Linked DNA regions of Arabidopsis thaliana. The protein of the gene in region 1 purifies or fractionates together with the protein of each later gene. This does not show direct contact. Each region holds a gene or a part of one and is shown on either strand. Other genes may lie near its edges.

Evidence for each region. The genes of interacting proteins can lie anywhere in the genome.
Region 2: the proteins of HA1 (region 1) and CPK5 fractionate together in Arabidopsis thaliana (co-fractionation; one study listed by BioGRID). This does not show direct contact.

Annotation. Positions count from the first base shown.
Region 1 is NC_003071.7:8,217,751-8,228,622, forward strand, and holds HA1 (H[+]-ATPase 1), read left to right. Parts: upstream 1-3,763; 5' UTR 3,764-4,107; coding exon 4,108-4,149; intron 4,150-4,402; exon of another isoform or gene 4,403-5,427; coding exon 5,428-5,547; intron 5,548-5,640; coding exon 5,641-5,877; intron 5,878-5,961; coding exon 5,962-6,723; intron 6,724-6,818; coding exon 6,819-6,941; intron 6,942-7,019; coding exon 7,020-7,124; intron 7,125-7,215; coding exon 7,216-7,360; intron 7,361-7,449; coding exon 7,450-7,614; intron 7,615-7,706; coding exon 7,707-7,945; intron 7,946-8,039; coding exon 8,040-8,072; intron 8,073-8,162; coding exon 8,163-8,244; intron 8,245-8,331; coding exon 8,332-8,492; intron 8,493-8,621; coding exon 8,622-8,795; intron 8,796-8,879; coding exon 8,880-9,062; intron 9,063-9,148; coding exon 9,149-9,330; intron 9,331-9,421; coding exon 9,422-9,518; 3' UTR 9,519-9,872; downstream 9,873-10,872. UniProt on the Arabidopsis thaliana protein: The plasma membrane H(+) ATPase of plants and fungi generates a proton gradient that drives the active transport of nutrients by H(+)-symport. The resulting external acidification and/or internal alkinization may mediate growth responses.
Region 2 is NC_003075.7:16,798,371-16,805,495, forward strand, and holds CPK5 (calmodulin-domain protein kinase 5), read left to right. Parts: upstream 1-3,234; 5' UTR 3,235-3,752; intron 3,753-3,976; 5' UTR 3,977-4,065; coding exon 4,066-4,819; intron 4,820-4,901; coding exon 4,902-5,045; intron 5,046-5,138; coding exon 5,139-5,291; intron 5,292-5,360; coding exon 5,361-5,476; intron 5,477-5,571; coding exon 5,572-5,739; intron 5,740-5,823; coding exon 5,824-6,048; intron 6,049-6,147; coding exon 6,148-6,258; 3' UTR 6,259-6,625; downstream 6,626-7,125. Other genes in the region: TMT2 (tonoplast monosaccharide transporter2), read right to left, coding at 1-474, 623-701. UniProt on the Arabidopsis thaliana protein: May play a role in signal transduction pathways that involve calcium as a second messenger.

The DNA of each region.
Region 1 (10,872 bases):
TAAAATATATCCCACATCAAAACTTTGATAATTTATAAAACAATATATAAGTATGTGGTAAATCTTTATTTTTGAGCTAGCTTTTATGTATGAGTTAGGCTCATACTAATACAAACAATAATTAAAACGGGTTATTTGTTGGTCGTTGGTCGTTAGTGTTAAAGAAATGAATAACAAAACACGTTGCTTATTGTTATCGGTAATCATTTTTCGTTAGTAAAATAAACAATACTTAAATATAACTTCTTTTTTTTTTTTTCTTTTTTTTTTTTGAATATCAGGAGGTTCTGGGCCGGAGCCCGTAATCCCCAGGCCCGAAACCACAACATGTAATATTAGTTTCGTTGTCACTCAAACCGGCGACCTCTAAATTTCGCTTAAAGTATTTATCAATTGAGCTAACGACACTTGATTAAATATAACTCTTCCCATCACCTCTTCCAAAAAAAGGAATAAGTAAGACTATAACATTACTTTTCCTGATAACGATATATCGCGAACCTTCACGAAAGTATCATTAGGTTCAGTGGCAGAGAGATAGTTTATATTTTTGATTCATATTTGTTAATTTGTGATTCAGTTATGAAATCTTGCTGGGTCTTAAAAAAGAGAAGAATCGTGTTGTTTTCATATGTTTATAAAATTGAAAATACAATTGTCAATTTATTTTTAATTATGTGACCATTTCTACGACGAATGATCTAATCACAAGCGTAGTTGAAAACTTATCGCCCTCGCTATATTGATGTCAGTGTATTAACAAAATTATCATTATGCTAGTACTTATAATTATATGAATAAATAATAAACACTTGGATTCTAATATGTTCGCATGAGGATGAAAGTAAACTTTTATGCAAAACAAACTTATTATATATTATTGGTGTTCTATTTGGATTCTGTCTGCTGAACTGTATGGTTGTATTAAAACATATATACAATCTTTTACTTGTGTTTGTGGTAGAAATGGAAAATAGAAAAAAGAAGTGATAGAAACAAAAGTAATTTGGGGTATTGTAGTACTAGCGTTAGTTTTCTAAAAAATACCACTTAAAATTAGTATTTACAGATAACAGTTTAGCGAGCATAACTTACTGAATAGTTTCAAAATTGTTTTTAACAGACCTCTGTAAAAATTTAATTAGCGACCTTTTCTATGCTAAAATATTTTTCAAGTGTTTATATATAATCAATTGATATATCAAACAGAATCAAAAGCAAGGGTTAATTTGCAAAATGGCTAATTTTTTTTATAGTTGCTAAAAATATAATTTTAAATAACTAACTAAAAGCAAATGAAAAAGTACTTTAATAGTTGACCTTCAAAAATATTTCATTTAATATTCACGTAGAGCTACTCGTTTTATTCATTGGTAAAATTTAAGAAAACGTGGTAACAAATGATTTTCTTTTTTGGAGGCTAATATAATAATGAATACTATTAAGTACGAGAGAAAAAAAAGATTAGGCTAAGAACTAATAATAATGGAATGATGGAATATAAAAATTCTATTTTGTTTGGATGATCTAACCTTTCATTTAACCTAAATGGGTGATTTTCTTTTCTGTAATATATCACTTTTATATTATATGATTTTAATGTTAACAGATTTTATTAAATAGAGTTGAAGCTATATGATTTCAGGATGCCATATCATACTAATATTCTACGTACAAAACAATTTAGCACAGAAATAGTTTTACCGAAAACTAATTGATGGCAAGAAATCACATGATTATTATTTTTTGTAATTTGTTTTGTATATTTTCCATTAATATTTTGCTAATTAACTCAGCTAAAAATGTTTCAAAAAATAGATCTGATTATTTGGATGTTGGTTTTATATTTCCTTGTTATAAAAACAAAGAATATGACGAATAAATTTAACTTTTTGAAATCCTAAAAAAAAAAGCATACACATTTAAATAAATACTTTTATGTATTTACCTATGAAAGTTAAATTGATTTTGTCTATCAGATACATAAATGATCAAATAATAAATGAGAAAAACCTGCCCATATGTGCCGATATATATCCAGTTGAATTAAACCATCATCTTCTTGTTTCTTTGTTTTTAAAATTCTCTTATGAAATCGATCTTTTAGATAAAATACAATCGAATTTATGGAAGCAAGAAAAAAAAATTACGTAGGGGAGGTGTATTATTGGGGGACCCAGCACGATCAAAAAGTCAATATTCATCAGCCAATTTGCTGAATAAATAAATAAATAACCTTGAAAACAATTTTTGGTTAAATTACAAAAATAATGATATCCACAAACATGTGAATTGTTCCAGCAATTGCTGACCTTGCCATGAGGCACCTTGGAAGAGCCATTGCTTCATTACAATCCTTTAAAGCCATAAATATGAGATTAGGATTACCAAAATTTCACATATAACAAATTGTTTTATATCATTACTAGCTTAATATGTGTTTTATTATAGTTTTAGATCGACGTCATCTGAATATTTTCCCCCAAACTCCTAAATTTTATAATCTGTGTCTAAACCTAATTTTATATTTCAAAACATCCCTTTTTCTGGAAGAAACTTGTCTTTTAATTTTTTTTTTTTTTTTCACACTTGTCTTTTAATTTCCTTAAGAGACCAAATCAAGTTAATTTAGTGTACTCACCACCTTTAAAACAGGTCAAGTTAATTTATTTGAACATCAGTAATAAATTTATGAACATCTCTTTTCAACATCGGTATTCTTAAATAGTGTTTTAGAATCGTCATTTTAACTTTATGTTTCACTAAACTTAGAAAATATTTAGTTTTTTTTATCTCAATTAGTAATTATCATTTAAATTTTTATTTTCTCGGTTTCTACTTCGCCACTATTATTTAACATATTATTAAACAAATTAGTATTATACGGGTTGATTTTAATTTTCCAATTACAAATTAATTAAAATTCAACTTTTTGATTGGTTGTATAATCCGAAGGAAAAATGTTTACATACGAATTGTTTTAAAAACACTTTGATTTAAAAGTCCGACCTAAACAATCAACATGAAAATTAAACTTATGAGCAAATTAGGTTGATCTAGAAAATAACTTTTGCATTTGTCTCATAGGGAATTATAAAGTTAGTATCTACACACATATATCAAATATACATGTTATATCTATATTACTCTCTCTCTCTCTCTCTCTCTCTCTCTATATATATATATATATATATATATGTATATTCACAAATCCATGTATGTATTTTAAATTTTGTTTGTTTTTTTTTTCCTTCAAAATGAGTAACTTATATAGAAGTCATTAAGATTAGCTTTGCACAACTCTTTGGGAACAAAAAAGAACCCAAATTTTAAGCATTATTCAATGTTCATATAATTATTATGTATATTATTTTTCCTTATTGATTATCAATTTTATATACACAAAAAGATATCAGTGAAGAACTTATGATTGTGCATATTTTCTGTCCATACATAACCACAATATTAATCAAAAATTTAAATTTATCTTAGATATTTTTCTTATGATAATTCAATACTGTATAATTTTTTAAAATCTATACATTACAGTTTTGTCTTTTAAATCATATTCTAATATGCATAAATATCTAGAAAAATACTAACTCCATAGAATTAAATTTCTTATGTAAGTTTAGTATATTATCCTAAATTTGTGTTAATGTTAAGATTTCTACTAAATTTGATACTCAAAAGTAAAAAGTTTCTCTTAATAGAAAAAAATAAATATAGATTCTCTTACATTACAGGATCAGAGTATAAAACCAGTTTAAGTAAACAATGTTTCAAAAAACAGTATGATATCTGAAATTTTAATTATAAAACCAAAAATCCAAAGTCAAATATACGTTTTCCAAGTGAGAAAGGACCCATAAACAATTAACAACCATTGATGATCACCAAATCATAATCAACGGTCGAAATGAATGAAAAATAAAAGTCTGAAACGGTGGAGAGTTTCGTCGTTTTGAGTGGTTATAAAAAGAGAAGGCGTATATCTCCTCTGCAACAGAAGCTCGCTTTCTCTCTCTCTCTCTCGTGTGTGTGTGTGTGATCGAGTGGTGAAACGACAGAGAGGGGCGTCGTTTTGTTGATTTCTTCTGGGTGAAGATGTCAGGTCTCGAAGATATCAAGAACGAGACCGTTGATCTGGTATTATTTCGATTCTCTTCTCGCTTAAATTCTTCGAGTTTTTAATTTCATTTTTAGTGTTTATTCATCATGCCCACAAAGTGTTCGATGATTTGCTTGAATGAGAAATAGATCTGTTTCGTTGTTGTTCCTTGCATGGTTTCACGTTTGATTCTTTTACCCTTTTTTCTTCAAATCATTTTCCGATGATTCTACTCCTTTTTTCTTTGATCGAAAACTGAATCTTAATTCCTCAAGAACCCGAAAAATCCGCAAAAAAAAAAAAAACCGATTTTTCCCCCCAATTGTATCTGCCTCATTTTCGATGATTCTATCATGGATCCTATACAAAACCCAAATCAAGATTCCAACTTTATTAATTTTGGTCTAAAATTAGGGTAAAATAACAGATGTCTTTTAAAGGTTTTAGGTATTAAGCCAAAAATAAGTAGATTTTGATACTGTTCATCAGAAAAAGTAGATCTACCCAAAAACTACACACATGTGAAACGCTGAATAAAAAGATAAGTCTTTTTAGTGGTGGAGCTAAGCTTAAGCTACGTCTCAACAAAAGTCTCTTTCACATATTTATTAAAAGAGAAAAAAATCGCAAAAAGTTTGATTTTGCTTGTGATATATAACTTTCTTTCTCTAAAAAAAATCATCTTTTTTTTGTAAAGATAACGTTTTTGATGTTAAAGCAGTTCATAATATTCTTCTATCTTCCACCCATGAAAAATACCAGAGTTTTTAATAAATTTAAGTTTTCAACTTTTTTTTAAATTGTTGTTGATGTTCGAATTTTTTTGATGTACCTTTCCGTAGTACGTTTTTTTTTTTTTTGAACTTCTTTGTCCTTTTGTAAAACATCTATCAGTAGAAGCAACTTGTGAATTCCTCTATTGTAATTGATTTTGTTTAGTGAAATTGTTTTATGACCGAAATACCCTTAACCGGACTTTGGCTTTCACGCCGGAAAGTAGCCACCTTTCATGGAGGGAATCCCGCAGGCGCGTGTGTTACACGTTCCATAACACGTGCATTGAAGTAGTAGTAGTAGTGGTGGTGGTGGTGGTGGTCCCTCTATCCTCCACTGCCAGATTCTTTTCACCTTTCATTGTCACAACTTGAGTCAACGCCACTCTTCATCTTCCGAGTCGCCGAGTTGGATCGTTTCTGACATTTGTAAAAAGATTTCAAAACTAGAAAAGTTTTTGTCTTTTTTACCCTTTTGTTCTTGTTTGATGTTTGAGTTACTATTGTTTGGGTTCTGATCAAAACTTTTGCTTTGATTCTCAGGAAAAAATTCCGATTGAGGAAGTTTTCCAGCAGCTAAAATGTACAAGGGAAGGATTGACAACGCAGGAAGGGGAAGACAGGATTGTGATATTTGGCCCCAACAAGCTCGAAGAGAAGAAGGTTTGAGTTTGACTTAGCATTGTTGTTTTATCATCATTGAAAGCTTTGGTTTTGTTTAACTCACGAGGTTGATCTTTCGTAAAAAAATATCAGGAAAGCAAAATTCTGAAGTTTCTGGGGTTCATGTGGAATCCGCTTTCATGGGTTATGGAAGCTGCAGCTCTCATGGCCATTGCTTTGGCTAATGGTGATAATCGACCTCCGGATTGGCAAGATTTTGTGGGTATTATCTGTCTGCTTGTTATCAACTCCACAATCAGTTTCATTGAAGAAAACAACGCCGGAAATGCTGCAGCTGCTCTCATGGCTGGTCTTGCTCCTAAAACCAAGGTAATATGTTGGTGGATGCTGTGACATTACTGTACAAGATATTTCGAGACTTCTAGAGAGCTTAACCTGTTTCTCTGTTTTCAGGTTCTTAGGGATGGAAAATGGAGTGAACAAGAGGCTGCTATCCTTGTCCCAGGTGATATTGTTAGCATTAAACTTGGAGACATTATCCCAGCCGATGCCCGTCTTCTTGAAGGAGATCCTTTAAAGGTTGATCAGTCTGCTCTAACTGGAGAGTCCCTTCCTGTGACCAAGCACCCTGGTCAAGAAGTTTTCTCTGGTTCAACTTGTAAACAAGGAGAAATCGAAGCGGTTGTTATAGCCACTGGAGTTCACACCTTCTTTGGTAAAGCTGCTCACCTTGTGGACAGCACTAACCAAGTTGGGCACTTCCAGAAAGTTCTTACATCCATTGGAAACTTCTGTATCTGTTCTATTGCTATTGGTATAGCGATTGAAATAGTCGTCATGTACCCTATCCAACACCGAAAGTACAGAGATGGAATTGACAATCTCTTGGTCCTCTTGATCGGTGGTATCCCCATTGCTATGCCCACGGTCTTGTCTGTGACTATGGCTATCGGGTCTCACAGGTTGTCTCAGCAAGGTGCTATCACCAAACGTATGACAGCCATTGAAGAAATGGCGGGAATGGATGTCCTTTGCAGTGACAAAACCGGGACACTAACCCTTAATAAATTGAGTGTGGATAAAAACTTGGTTGAGGTTTTCTGCAAGGGTGTGGAGAAAGATCAAGTTCTACTATTTGCAGCTATGGCTTCTAGGGTGGAGAACCAGGACGCTATTGATGCAGCCATGGTTGGAATGCTTGCTGATCCGAAAGAGGTATAACTCTAATCATTTTGAATTACTTCTTTAGTTTAGTGAAAGGTCGAGAAAACAAGTTCTTAATTTCTTATGTTTCACTTGGATTTTCATAGGCCCGAGCTGGAATCAGAGAGGTTCACTTCCTTCCATTCAACCCTGTGGATAAGAGAACTGCTTTGACTTACATCGACTCTGATGGTAACTGGCACAGAGTCAGCAAAGGTGCTCCCGAGCAGGTGATGAATCTTCAACTTTCTCCTAAAGATGTTGCGTTTTTCCTTTATTCTGTGTACTAATTCGATTCTCCCACACAGATCCTTGACCTTGCCAATGCCAGGCCTGACCTTAGGAAGAAGGTACTCTCTTGTATTGACAAGTACGCTGAGCGCGGTCTTAGGTCGTTGGCAGTAGCTCGTCAGGTACTTTTTTACAAGCAATTTTTACATTGGTCTTATTTGGGTTTTTTTTTTGGCCTGTAAATCAACTGTTTAATTGCATATTCCTTTTTAGGTGGTACCCGAGAAAACAAAAGAAAGCCCAGGTGGACCATGGGAATTTGTTGGCTTGTTGCCTCTTTTTGACCCTCCAAGACACGACAGTGCCGAAACCATTCGTAGGGCGTTGAATCTAGGTGTTAATGTGAAGATGATCACTGGTAACTATTCTTATTCATCATTTTTTTCCCATGAAATCCATGGTTATTTAGATGTTTTCCCCTAACTTGCGCTCTAACTACGTTGCCAGGTGATCAACTTGCTATTGGTAAGGAAACCGGTCGCAGGCTTGGAATGGGAACCAATATGTATCCATCTGCGGCTCTTCTCGGTACCGACAAGGACTCGAACATTGCATCCATCCCTGTTGAGGAGTTGATCGAGAAGGCTGATGGGTTTGCCGGCGTCTTTCCAGGTTATGCCTTGCTTTCAGTTTCAAACCTCATCACATGTTCATTATAAAGTTTTGTTATATTGATCCAAGGTTCTTATGGTTACTGATTGCAGAGCACAAATATGAAATTGTGAAAAAGCTGCAGGAGAGGAAGCACATTGTTGGTATGACCGGTGATGGTGTTAATGATGCACCCGCTTTGAAGAAAGCAGATATCGGTATTGCTGTGGCCGATGCTACAGATGCTGCTCGTGGTGCTTCAGATATCGTCCTCACGGAACCTGGGCTGAGTGTCATCATCAGTGCCGTTCTCACTAGCAGAGCTATCTTCCAGAGAATGAAGAACTACACCGTGCGTATTCTTAATCTCACTCTAATATATTATGCCCACCACTTGTGTTCGTTTGCGCTGGAAACTAATAATTTTAGTTTCCTGCTTGTGACAGATTTATGCAGTCTCAATCACAATCCGTATTGTGGTAAGTAGAAACCCGTTTTACAAATCTATCACTTGTTTAGCATGATTTTACTTTTTGTATACTGATCATATTGCGTTGTAACTCTTGCAGTTTGGTTTCATGCTTATTGCTTTGATATGGGAATTTGACTTCTCAGCGTTCATGGTTCTGATTATTGCCATCCTTAATGATGGTGAGCAAATAACATCCTACTTTTCTAGACAGCGTCCTCACTCGTTATCAGCTATATCTTATGGTATTATGTGTTACTACCTTTTAGGTACTATCATGACAATCTCAAAGGACAGAGTCAAGCCATCTCCCACACCTGATAGCTGGAAGCTCAAAGAAATTTTCGCCACTGGAATTGTGCTGGGAGGCTACCAAGCCATTATGAGTGTTATTTTCTTCTGGGCTGCTCACAAGACCGACTTTTTCTCGGTACATCATCAGTTTATTTTCATTTCTTTTCTCTTTTTTTTGGTACAGGTGCTTCAGGGACTATATAGATATATATGGCCAGGCCTTTTGCTCTGAGTCTTAAAAAATTGTCTCACCTTCGATTTGCAGGACAAGTTCGGTGTGAGGTCAATCAGGGACAATAACGATGAACTAATGGGTGCTGTGTATCTACAAGTTAGTATCATCAGTCAAGCTCTAATCTTTGTCACCAGGTCAAGGAGTTGGTCATTTGTCGAACGTCCTGGGGCGCTTCTGATGATTGCATTCGTCATTGCACAACTGGTAAGGACATCAAGCACACATATTTTCTGAACTTCGATTAGGTTAAAGAAACCCACTGAATTCATTCACTCCTTCCAAATGCAGGTTGCAACTTTGATCGCAGTGTATGCCGACTGGACATTTGCAAAGGTGAAGGGTATCGGTTGGGGATGGGCAGGTGTGATTTGGATTTACAGTATCGTAACATACTTCCCACAGGACATTTTGAAGTTTGCCATTCGGTATATCTTGAGTGGAAAGGCTTGGGCCAGCTTGTTTGACAACAGGGTACATACAAGTCTATCTACCACTATAGAGACCTCTTTTACAAGCTGATGGTAACATACTAATCACATCTTCTTCTATGTTAACAGACCGCTTTCACAACCAAGAAAGATTACGGTATTGGAGAAAGAGAAGCTCAATGGGCACAAGCTCAAAGGACATTGCACGGTCTGCAGCCAAAAGAAGATGTTAATATCTTCCCAGAGAAAGGAAGTTACAGAGAGCTGTCTGAGATCGCAGAGCAAGCCAAGAGAAGGGCCGAGATAGCTAGGTAAGTAGTGTGATTAAAACGAATCTCAACGGAAAGATGCCATTTGATAGAGGTTCTGATTGGTGAATGATTTAATATTATGTTGTGACAGGCTTAGGGAGCTTCACACATTGAAGGGACATGTGGAATCAGTCGCAAAGCTAAAGGGATTGGACATTGATACAGCAGGACATCACTACACTGTGTAGTTGGAGTTGCACAACAACACAAACATTTACCGAAAACCAACCCCATCATGACTCATCTTTTGTTTTGTCTTCACAAATCTCTCTTTAAAAGTCATTACAGTAGAGGGAAGAGAACTCTTGTGTATTGCCATAACTCTTCCAAAACTCTTTTTTCTTTTTGTTATTGTTAGTCATTGTTCTTAAAACTCCTACTCGATATGAGCTTTGCAAATTTGCCTTTGAAGAAACAAGGCCCTTTGCCTTTGAAGAGACAAGGCACTTTGCTTTTTAATGGCCTAATGTGATTATTCTATCACTCTTTTGTCTGTTTGATCAATTTCATCTTGAAGATAATATTTAAATTTAATTCTAAAACAAGAACATTCTTGGTTTTCGTATAGTTTTGGTTTTCATAAATCAAGATATTTACAATGTTGTAAATTCGAGCGAAAGAGAGTGATTAGCTAGCAATGCGAACTCACATTCGAGGGATGTGTTGTTCTCGAAAGATTATCATATAATCCAGTCCCGAAAGACTCTATCTCAAAAGACTCTATCATAGAAAGAAGATGAAGCCAACAACAAGACATTTACAATGAGAGAGCGTTTCAGCGAAGATGAAGACAACACAATATTTACAATGAGAGGGCTTCTCAGTGCTACGGCTCTTCTTCATGGGCAGACACTCAAGAAAACATGTTATTTGCAAGTTGCCAGATAATTACGAGAAAAGACATTCTCTCGTAATTCGGTTTTTGCAAATTCGAATACTTCGTAAATATCATGTAAATTTTGGGAAGAAAGATTTTCGTAATAGATCCTTCACAAAATATGTCTAGTAAATCATTGGCAAGTATTGCTATGGATTTGCAATAACTCTTTTAAATAATTTGATTTGACACAAAATAATAATATACATCCTTGCAAATCCGTAGTAATTTGCTATAGGGAAACTTAAGAAATTATAATAAAATAATATTAAAATTATTTACGATAATAATATAATACATGTAAATTGTATTGTTATTTGTAATTGCAGATGATCATTTGGCTGTTTGCACTACTATAAAACTTTATGCAAAACCAAAAGCAAAGAATGACTCTGCGAGTCACGTCCAAAGATATGGATGATGACTTCAAATCATATATATCACCATTCCTCTAAAAATAAGAATTATTTCAACTTTCTCTAAGCTGAAAGTAAATACTCTTCTTTCAAGTTGCTCGTGTAATCCAAATAATATTGATGGTGATGATGAATACATCAATTCAAAGCAGTGACAAATTCATCCACTGTGTTAATTATGACGAACATTATATCGTTATGTTTTGTGCAAAGACGAAAATTTATAATATGAAATAAAAATATGTGCAC
Region 2 (7,125 bases), on another chromosome or scaffold:
AGAAGAAGACCGTGAGGAAGAAAAAGACAAGGGAAGGGATGAAAAGGACACCAAGCATCAATCTCCAGCTAGGTGATGGCATCAACGACATTCCGAAAACCATACAGTAAGATAAGAACATCCCTCCAGAGCCAGTGAACTGCGGTAGCGTATTCAACAGTCCCCTAATCTCAGGTGGTGCAGTCTCAGATATATAAATAGGAACAAGTGTGACCACAAGACCAACCCCAAATCCATCTAACAACCTTCCTAAGAGCAACACATAAACATTCGGAGACCATAGCATTACTAGAGAACCAACAAAGTAGAGAATTGAGGACAATATTAGCATGGGACGGCGACCAAGCCAATCAGCTACCCCTCCAGAGCATGTTGTAATCAGAGTAGCACCAATAAGTGACATCGCCACAATTAGACCTTCCACTGATGGATTACTCTCCAAATTAAACTCCTTTTTTATGTACAACACAGCTCCTGCAGAGTACCCAAAGAAAACTTAAAATCCATCACACAAGCAAAAGAGATAAGCTAAAAGATCTGTGAATTGTATCCATAAAAATCCTGACTTTATCGATCCTAAATTTCATAAACAGAATTATGGATACAGAAGATAATCAATCACCTGCAATAGTTGCGTTATCCCATCCTTGTAACAAGTTGCCAACAGCAGCAGCAATAGCAACAAGCACAGCTCCACTCATAATTCCGTCTTCTATCTTTTATCAAGAAATCTGAAGAGAATTTCGCAAAAACAGAGTCACTGATCAACGACGATGAGTGAGTGAAACAAAATCCACCTGAAAATTCGAAAATCAGACACAATCACTTGGTGAGCTAAAAGATAAAACAGAGAGAGATAACACCAAAAAGCATGACCTAAGACTATAACAAACCCTTTAGTGACGTAAAAGACACATACCCAAAGGAGTTCTAGAAAAAAAAAACAGAGGTGAAACCTCAGATGTCAAAATCAAAACTTTGAATAAAATTTGACTACTTTTTATCTCTACCAAGTAGAAGAGAAAGTAAGAAAGTACGAGAGAATATGATATACAGAGAGAGAGATGAAAACTAGGGTTAGCAACTTGGAATTGGAGGCAGAAGAAGCCACTATCAGTGAGCCGCTGCTTCAATGGCGTCACTAAGCAATCATAAAGCATTGTTTACCCTTTTGGTTTAAATCAAAAAAAAAGAAAACGAAAGCTAGATTTCGAAGTAACCGTGAGAATATAAAAATGAATACTTTTTTTTTTTGTGCGGAAGGACAGTGAACAGAGAGAGAAGCCTATGGGATTAGTGACACCTGCCGTTTTGCTCCTGTCCTCTCAAACCACGTATGTGTATTGTGTGTGTATGTCTCTCTTCTCTTTCTCGTGTTTGCGTACAGAATTTTTTCAGAGAATTAAGTACATCTTTAAATTTTGTTATCTTTTCGATTTGGGTCCACGAGTTTATTCACGGGCCTATACAATCAAATTAATATCTCGAAATGTTTCTGCTTTTTACCATCTTCGCTTTCATGAAGTAAAGGTAAAAACGGATATTAATTTGGGATTTTGTATGTAAAAAGATGAGTTTAATGTCGGCATAATTGGGGAAAAATATTTGGTGTTTTTTTGTAAATATGAAACAAATATAGGATTGGTTTTTGAAATCTTAGATTCATTGGGACTTATACGAGAAACTAGAGATAAATATCTGAGTTTTCTGAAAACAAAGTTATTGGTAAAGTAAAGTTTAGTTTGTTTACATCCGGAAAGCATCTTCAAATCATTTCAACTTTACATAATTAATCAAGAAAGAAAGAAACAATGCAATAATGGAGAATAATGTCCAAAGTCCAAATACAATGAGACACTTTAACTTTAGTTAATTGTGAGTCGTATTCGTATGTTACAATATAATGAATAGTTTTTTCTTCTTCACTTTACTATTCTTCTTACAGATTAAAAGGGAAGAAAAAGAATGTATAAAAAATCATATTGAGTTTTTTTTTTTTTTAGAACCGAGTACCAAATTCGATATACAGTCTCTAATTCTAAATGAATAACATTAACAAATTTTGATCAACGAAAAACAAACCATGTGACTACGACAACTACTGGTTTTCTGAAAATAAATATCTATCGTCCGTATATCAAAACTTGATATGTATAAAACAAAAGATATATTGTTAAACGTCGTTGTTAAAGTTCGTATATTTGACCGCAAAGATTACCATAAATGTATTTAGAACATAGGAAAAACATCTAATTGGTTAATAAATATTTATGACTCCATATTTCTTAGATATTTTCCGGAAATGAACGTAGTACAAGCGTTATGTTTGGAACTACAGTACACACCACAGAATATAAACACGCAATAGAATCTTTTTTCATAGACTTTGAAAGTTATGGCATGTGAATGCGAATATATAAAGATTCTTGTCCACATCCTCAATTAATCATCATCATTGCTTCTTAAAAATTCCGTAGAATGAGGAGAAACGTACCATTTATGTTTACTGGTAGTAGTGATTACTGATTTAAGATATTATTCTTGGGAAAGAAACATCTAGTAACAACATTTTGAAAAGAAAAAAATCAGAATGATTATTACGGAAAAATGAAAAATTCAATAACGTTATGTTTGTCACCAAACTAATGTTAAAACGAATTCAAACCAAGTTGGAGAGATGTTACAGGACAGTTTTGCTAAAAAAAATCAGCCAGCACATTGATACAAAACCCAAAATATAATTTTGCTTGTGTACGTGGAGGTGTCAAATTTGATTCAGTCTTGTGAAAATGTCAATTTGATAGCGTTTATAATTAAAATTTTCGGTTCTTTTTTTTATCTGGAATTGAAATGTGTAATATGTTATCATTTTAGGCCTTATTGTAAGGTCTAAAGTCTAAAACAATACAATAATACGGCCTTTGGGGTGTCTGAATTTTGTATTTGAACATTGGGCTGGATCAGTGAATAAACAAGGCCCAAAAGTAAAACTTATTAGGGATTATGTGCGGGGCTCCAGAAAGTTGCAATATATGGAAAAGTCAATCTCTTACGTCATAATAGTCAGTGACGCCATAATACTGTTTAAATATTTGGCATATCTTTATCTTAAGAAAAAATCTCAAGAGATTACTATTCTTTCTGATAGGAGATTGAATGAACGGTTGCTTCTTTTACAAGTAGATCACATGTATTTAAATTAGTCTTCTCATACGACGAGAATAAAACCATCGTGCTTAATACTTAAATTTTTTTACAATTAACGGTAACTAGTAAAACCAGAAATGCATTTTGATTTTGTACAAACCAACATTCTAATTTTAGTTTTTTTTTTCAATTACAATTTAAACGATAAACAAAAGAGAAACTGGTTTAAATTTAATAATGCAAAAGCAGAAGAAAGAAGGTGAGAGGAAACAGCGGAGAGAGACAGAGTCAGAGAGGTGTAGAAGTAGTAGCTGGTGAGCACTAATAAAAGACCTTTCTTCGCTCAATCGCCGCCGTAAAATAAAACACCATCACATTCTCATCCAACGAATCTAATCTATCCGACCAAACCAAAGCTCTTAAAAAATCTATTTTTATTCTTACTTCAATCTCTGAAATAAATAAACATAAAATATTGTAGCTTTCCTTTGTTGTTCGACTTTTCTCTTTTGTCTCCCCTAAATTTAGTTTCTCCTTTTAAGTCAGATTCCTTCCTAATCCCATTCTTTCAGTCTTCTCTTTCGCCCTTCTGAGTTCAACAACTGGTAACTAGATCCTCTTTTTGCTTTACTTCATTCTCTGTTTTGTTATTCCTTTAAAAGATCCATCGAAACTTCTTAGCTCTTTGTCTTTTTTTTGGTTATTTTGACTCTTTGATCTGATGTGGGTTTTGCGTCTTTCTTTACTTGTGGTATTGTTAAAGTTCGTTACTTTGTTCTCGTTTAGCTTCTTGTATTTGGTCTAATTTAAGTCTTTTGACTTTTGACAGTGTTATCTCTATGAACAGTTCCTTTGATGAAGAACACAAAGTGAAAGTTGCTGTCTTTATAACCAGGATTTGGTAATTCCCATTGTTTCATGGGCAATTCTTGCCGTGGATCTTTCAAGGACAAACTCGACGAAGGCGATAACAATAAGCCTGAAGATTACTCTAAAACCTCTACCACCAACTTGTCTTCTAATTCCGACCATTCACCGAACGCTGCAGACATCATTGCTCAAGAATTCTCCAAAGACAACAACAGCAACAACAACAGCAAAGATCCAGCTCTTGTTATTCCTTTAAGAGAACCAATCATGAGGCGTAACCCAGACAATCAAGCTTACTATGTTCTTGGTCATAAGACACCAAACATTCGTGATATCTATACCCTTAGCCGCAAGCTAGGTCAAGGTCAATTTGGAACGACTTATCTATGTACAGAGATTGCCTCAGGCGTTGACTACGCTTGTAAGTCAATATCCAAGAGGAAGTTGATCTCTAAAGAAGATGTTGAGGATGTTAGAAGGGAGATTCAGATAATGCATCATTTAGCTGGTCACGGTAGTATCGTGACGATTAAAGGAGCTTATGAGGACTCTTTGTATGTTCACATTGTTATGGAGCTTTGTGCTGGAGGTGAATTGTTTGATAGGATTATTCAGAGAGGACATTATAGTGAGAGGAAAGCTGCTGAGCTGACTAAGATCATTGTCGGTGTTGTTGAAGCGTGTCATTCGCTTGGTGTGATGCATAGAGACTTGAAGCCTGAGAATTTCTTATTGGTTAATAAGGATGATGATTTCTCTCTCAAGGCTATTGATTTTGGGCTATCTGTCTTTTTCAAACCAGGTAAAGTGTTTGAAGCTTTTAGTTAATGTTTTGCTTAACTAGGCTGGTAAAAGAATCTTATGAAACAGAATGTGACTTTCAGGTCAAATATTCACTGATGTTGTTGGAAGTCCATATTATGTTGCTCCTGAGGTTTTGCTCAAACGTTATGGGCCTGAAGCTGATGTGTGGACTGCTGGTGTTATATTGTATATATTGCTAAGCGGAGTCCCACCTTTCTGGGCAGGTATTTGTCATTTTCCATGTTAGCCTGTTTCTTAGTCATGTAGAAAGTCTAAGTCACCTGAAATGTGTTTTGTATTGTCGTTTTTGGAATCAGAAACACAGCAAGGGATATTTGATGCTGTGTTGAAAGGATATATCGACTTTGAGTCAGACCCGTGGCCTGTGATATCCGACAGTGCTAAAGACTTGATCCGCAGAATGTTATCCTCCAAGCCTGCAGAACGTTTGACCGCTCATGAAGTCTTGCGTACGTATTCACATAAATGATTACTTATAGTGACAACCAAACAGCATTAGACTAATATCCTTTTTTCAGGTCATCCATGGATCTGTGAGAATGGTGTTGCACCAGATAGAGCACTAGATCCAGCTGTTCTTTCTCGTCTCAAGCAATTCTCTGCAATGAATAAACTAAAGAAGATGGCTTTGAAGGTGAGTGATTTTGTGCGTAAACCCTTTATCTTCTTTGGTCTCTGCATCACTTCTCATGAAACTGTTTGTTTTACTCTTTGTTTTGGGCTCATCAGGTTATAGCTGAGAGTCTCTCGGAAGAAGAGATAGCTGGTTTAAGAGAAATGTTTCAAGCAATGGATACTGATAACAGCGGGGCAATCACATTTGATGAACTCAAAGCTGGGCTGAGAAAATATGGATCTACCTTGAAAGACACAGAGATCCATGATCTTATGGATGCGGTAAAAATCTAACCTTATTTGGTTAAGTACATTGACAATGAAGTATTGTTATGTATTCTTACACTCAGCTCTTTTATTGACCAGGCTGATGTAGACAACAGTGGGACAATAGATTACAGTGAGTTCATTGCAGCGACGATCCATCTCAACAAACTAGAGCGGGAAGAGCATCTTGTTGCAGCGTTTCAATATTTTGACAAAGATGGAAGCGGTTTCATAACAATTGATGAGCTACAACAAGCGTGTGTTGAACATGGCATGGCTGATGTTTTCCTTGAAGACATCATCAAAGAAGTTGATCAAAACAATGTAAGCTTATATGATGATCTGTTCCACATTCCTCGCTAGGCTAATGTCGAGGCATCAGCTGATAAAAAGTCTTATCGGTTCTTATGTTGGTCTGAACAGGATGGAAAGATTGATTATGGTGAGTTTGTGGAGATGATGCAAAAGGGAAATGCTGGTGTTGGAAGAAGGACGATGAGAAATAGTCTAAACATTAGCATGAGAGACGCGTAGAGGTTGTTTTCCCCGGTGTTTAATATGTTAGTGCGATCGTGACTGCGAAAATGTTCTTATTCATGGAATCAACAACCTCAATGCTCACCACCTAGAAGGCGATGAAAGAAGACCAAACCGGATTCATACCTGTGGATGGTTCGAGTTTTGTTTAACGACTGTGTGATTAATCGTCAAGTAGTTTTGGAGGTTTTTTCTTTACCTCTTTGTTGTTTGTTCATTATGGCCATTGTTGAAGTTAGTGAGCTTTGTTCATCATCTGCCATTGTTAAACTTTGTTCACTTGTATTTGAAAAAAACAAAAATGTCTTTGTATGTTGTGTGATTTCTAAGCATTTTTACTTTGAAAATCTATTTCTTCTTTTCTAGACGATCACGACCCTTCATCCATATCGGACTACACAACTCGATATTGAATAAATTTATATGAGAATAGTACCAATGGCCTATGATGTGGAAGATGATGAGCTAGCAAGTCTCAATCATGTAAATGAAAGTGCTTTTTCTAAGTAATCTGTATTTAAACTCAAATAAAACCAAAACTCAAAGCTGTTCCAAGCAAATTATTCATTGGCCACAATCTGTAATTTGGAACATTATGCACCAAAACCATTTTTAATGTATTTTACATATACAGGTTTTTTGGTACTTCTCCTATACACATGGCATATTCATATTAACAAAAAATATTTATTTTGGTGTCACTTTTCATATTTTATTAGTGTAAAATAACCTCTTCTTAAGAGTAACGTATGGCAATTTGGTCAGCTTTGTTATTTAAAAATTATATGTTAATTAGCTAAAATACGATCATTTGTACCCAAATTCTCTTAATTTAAAACTAGTCCGACTTGAAAGTAAAAGTTT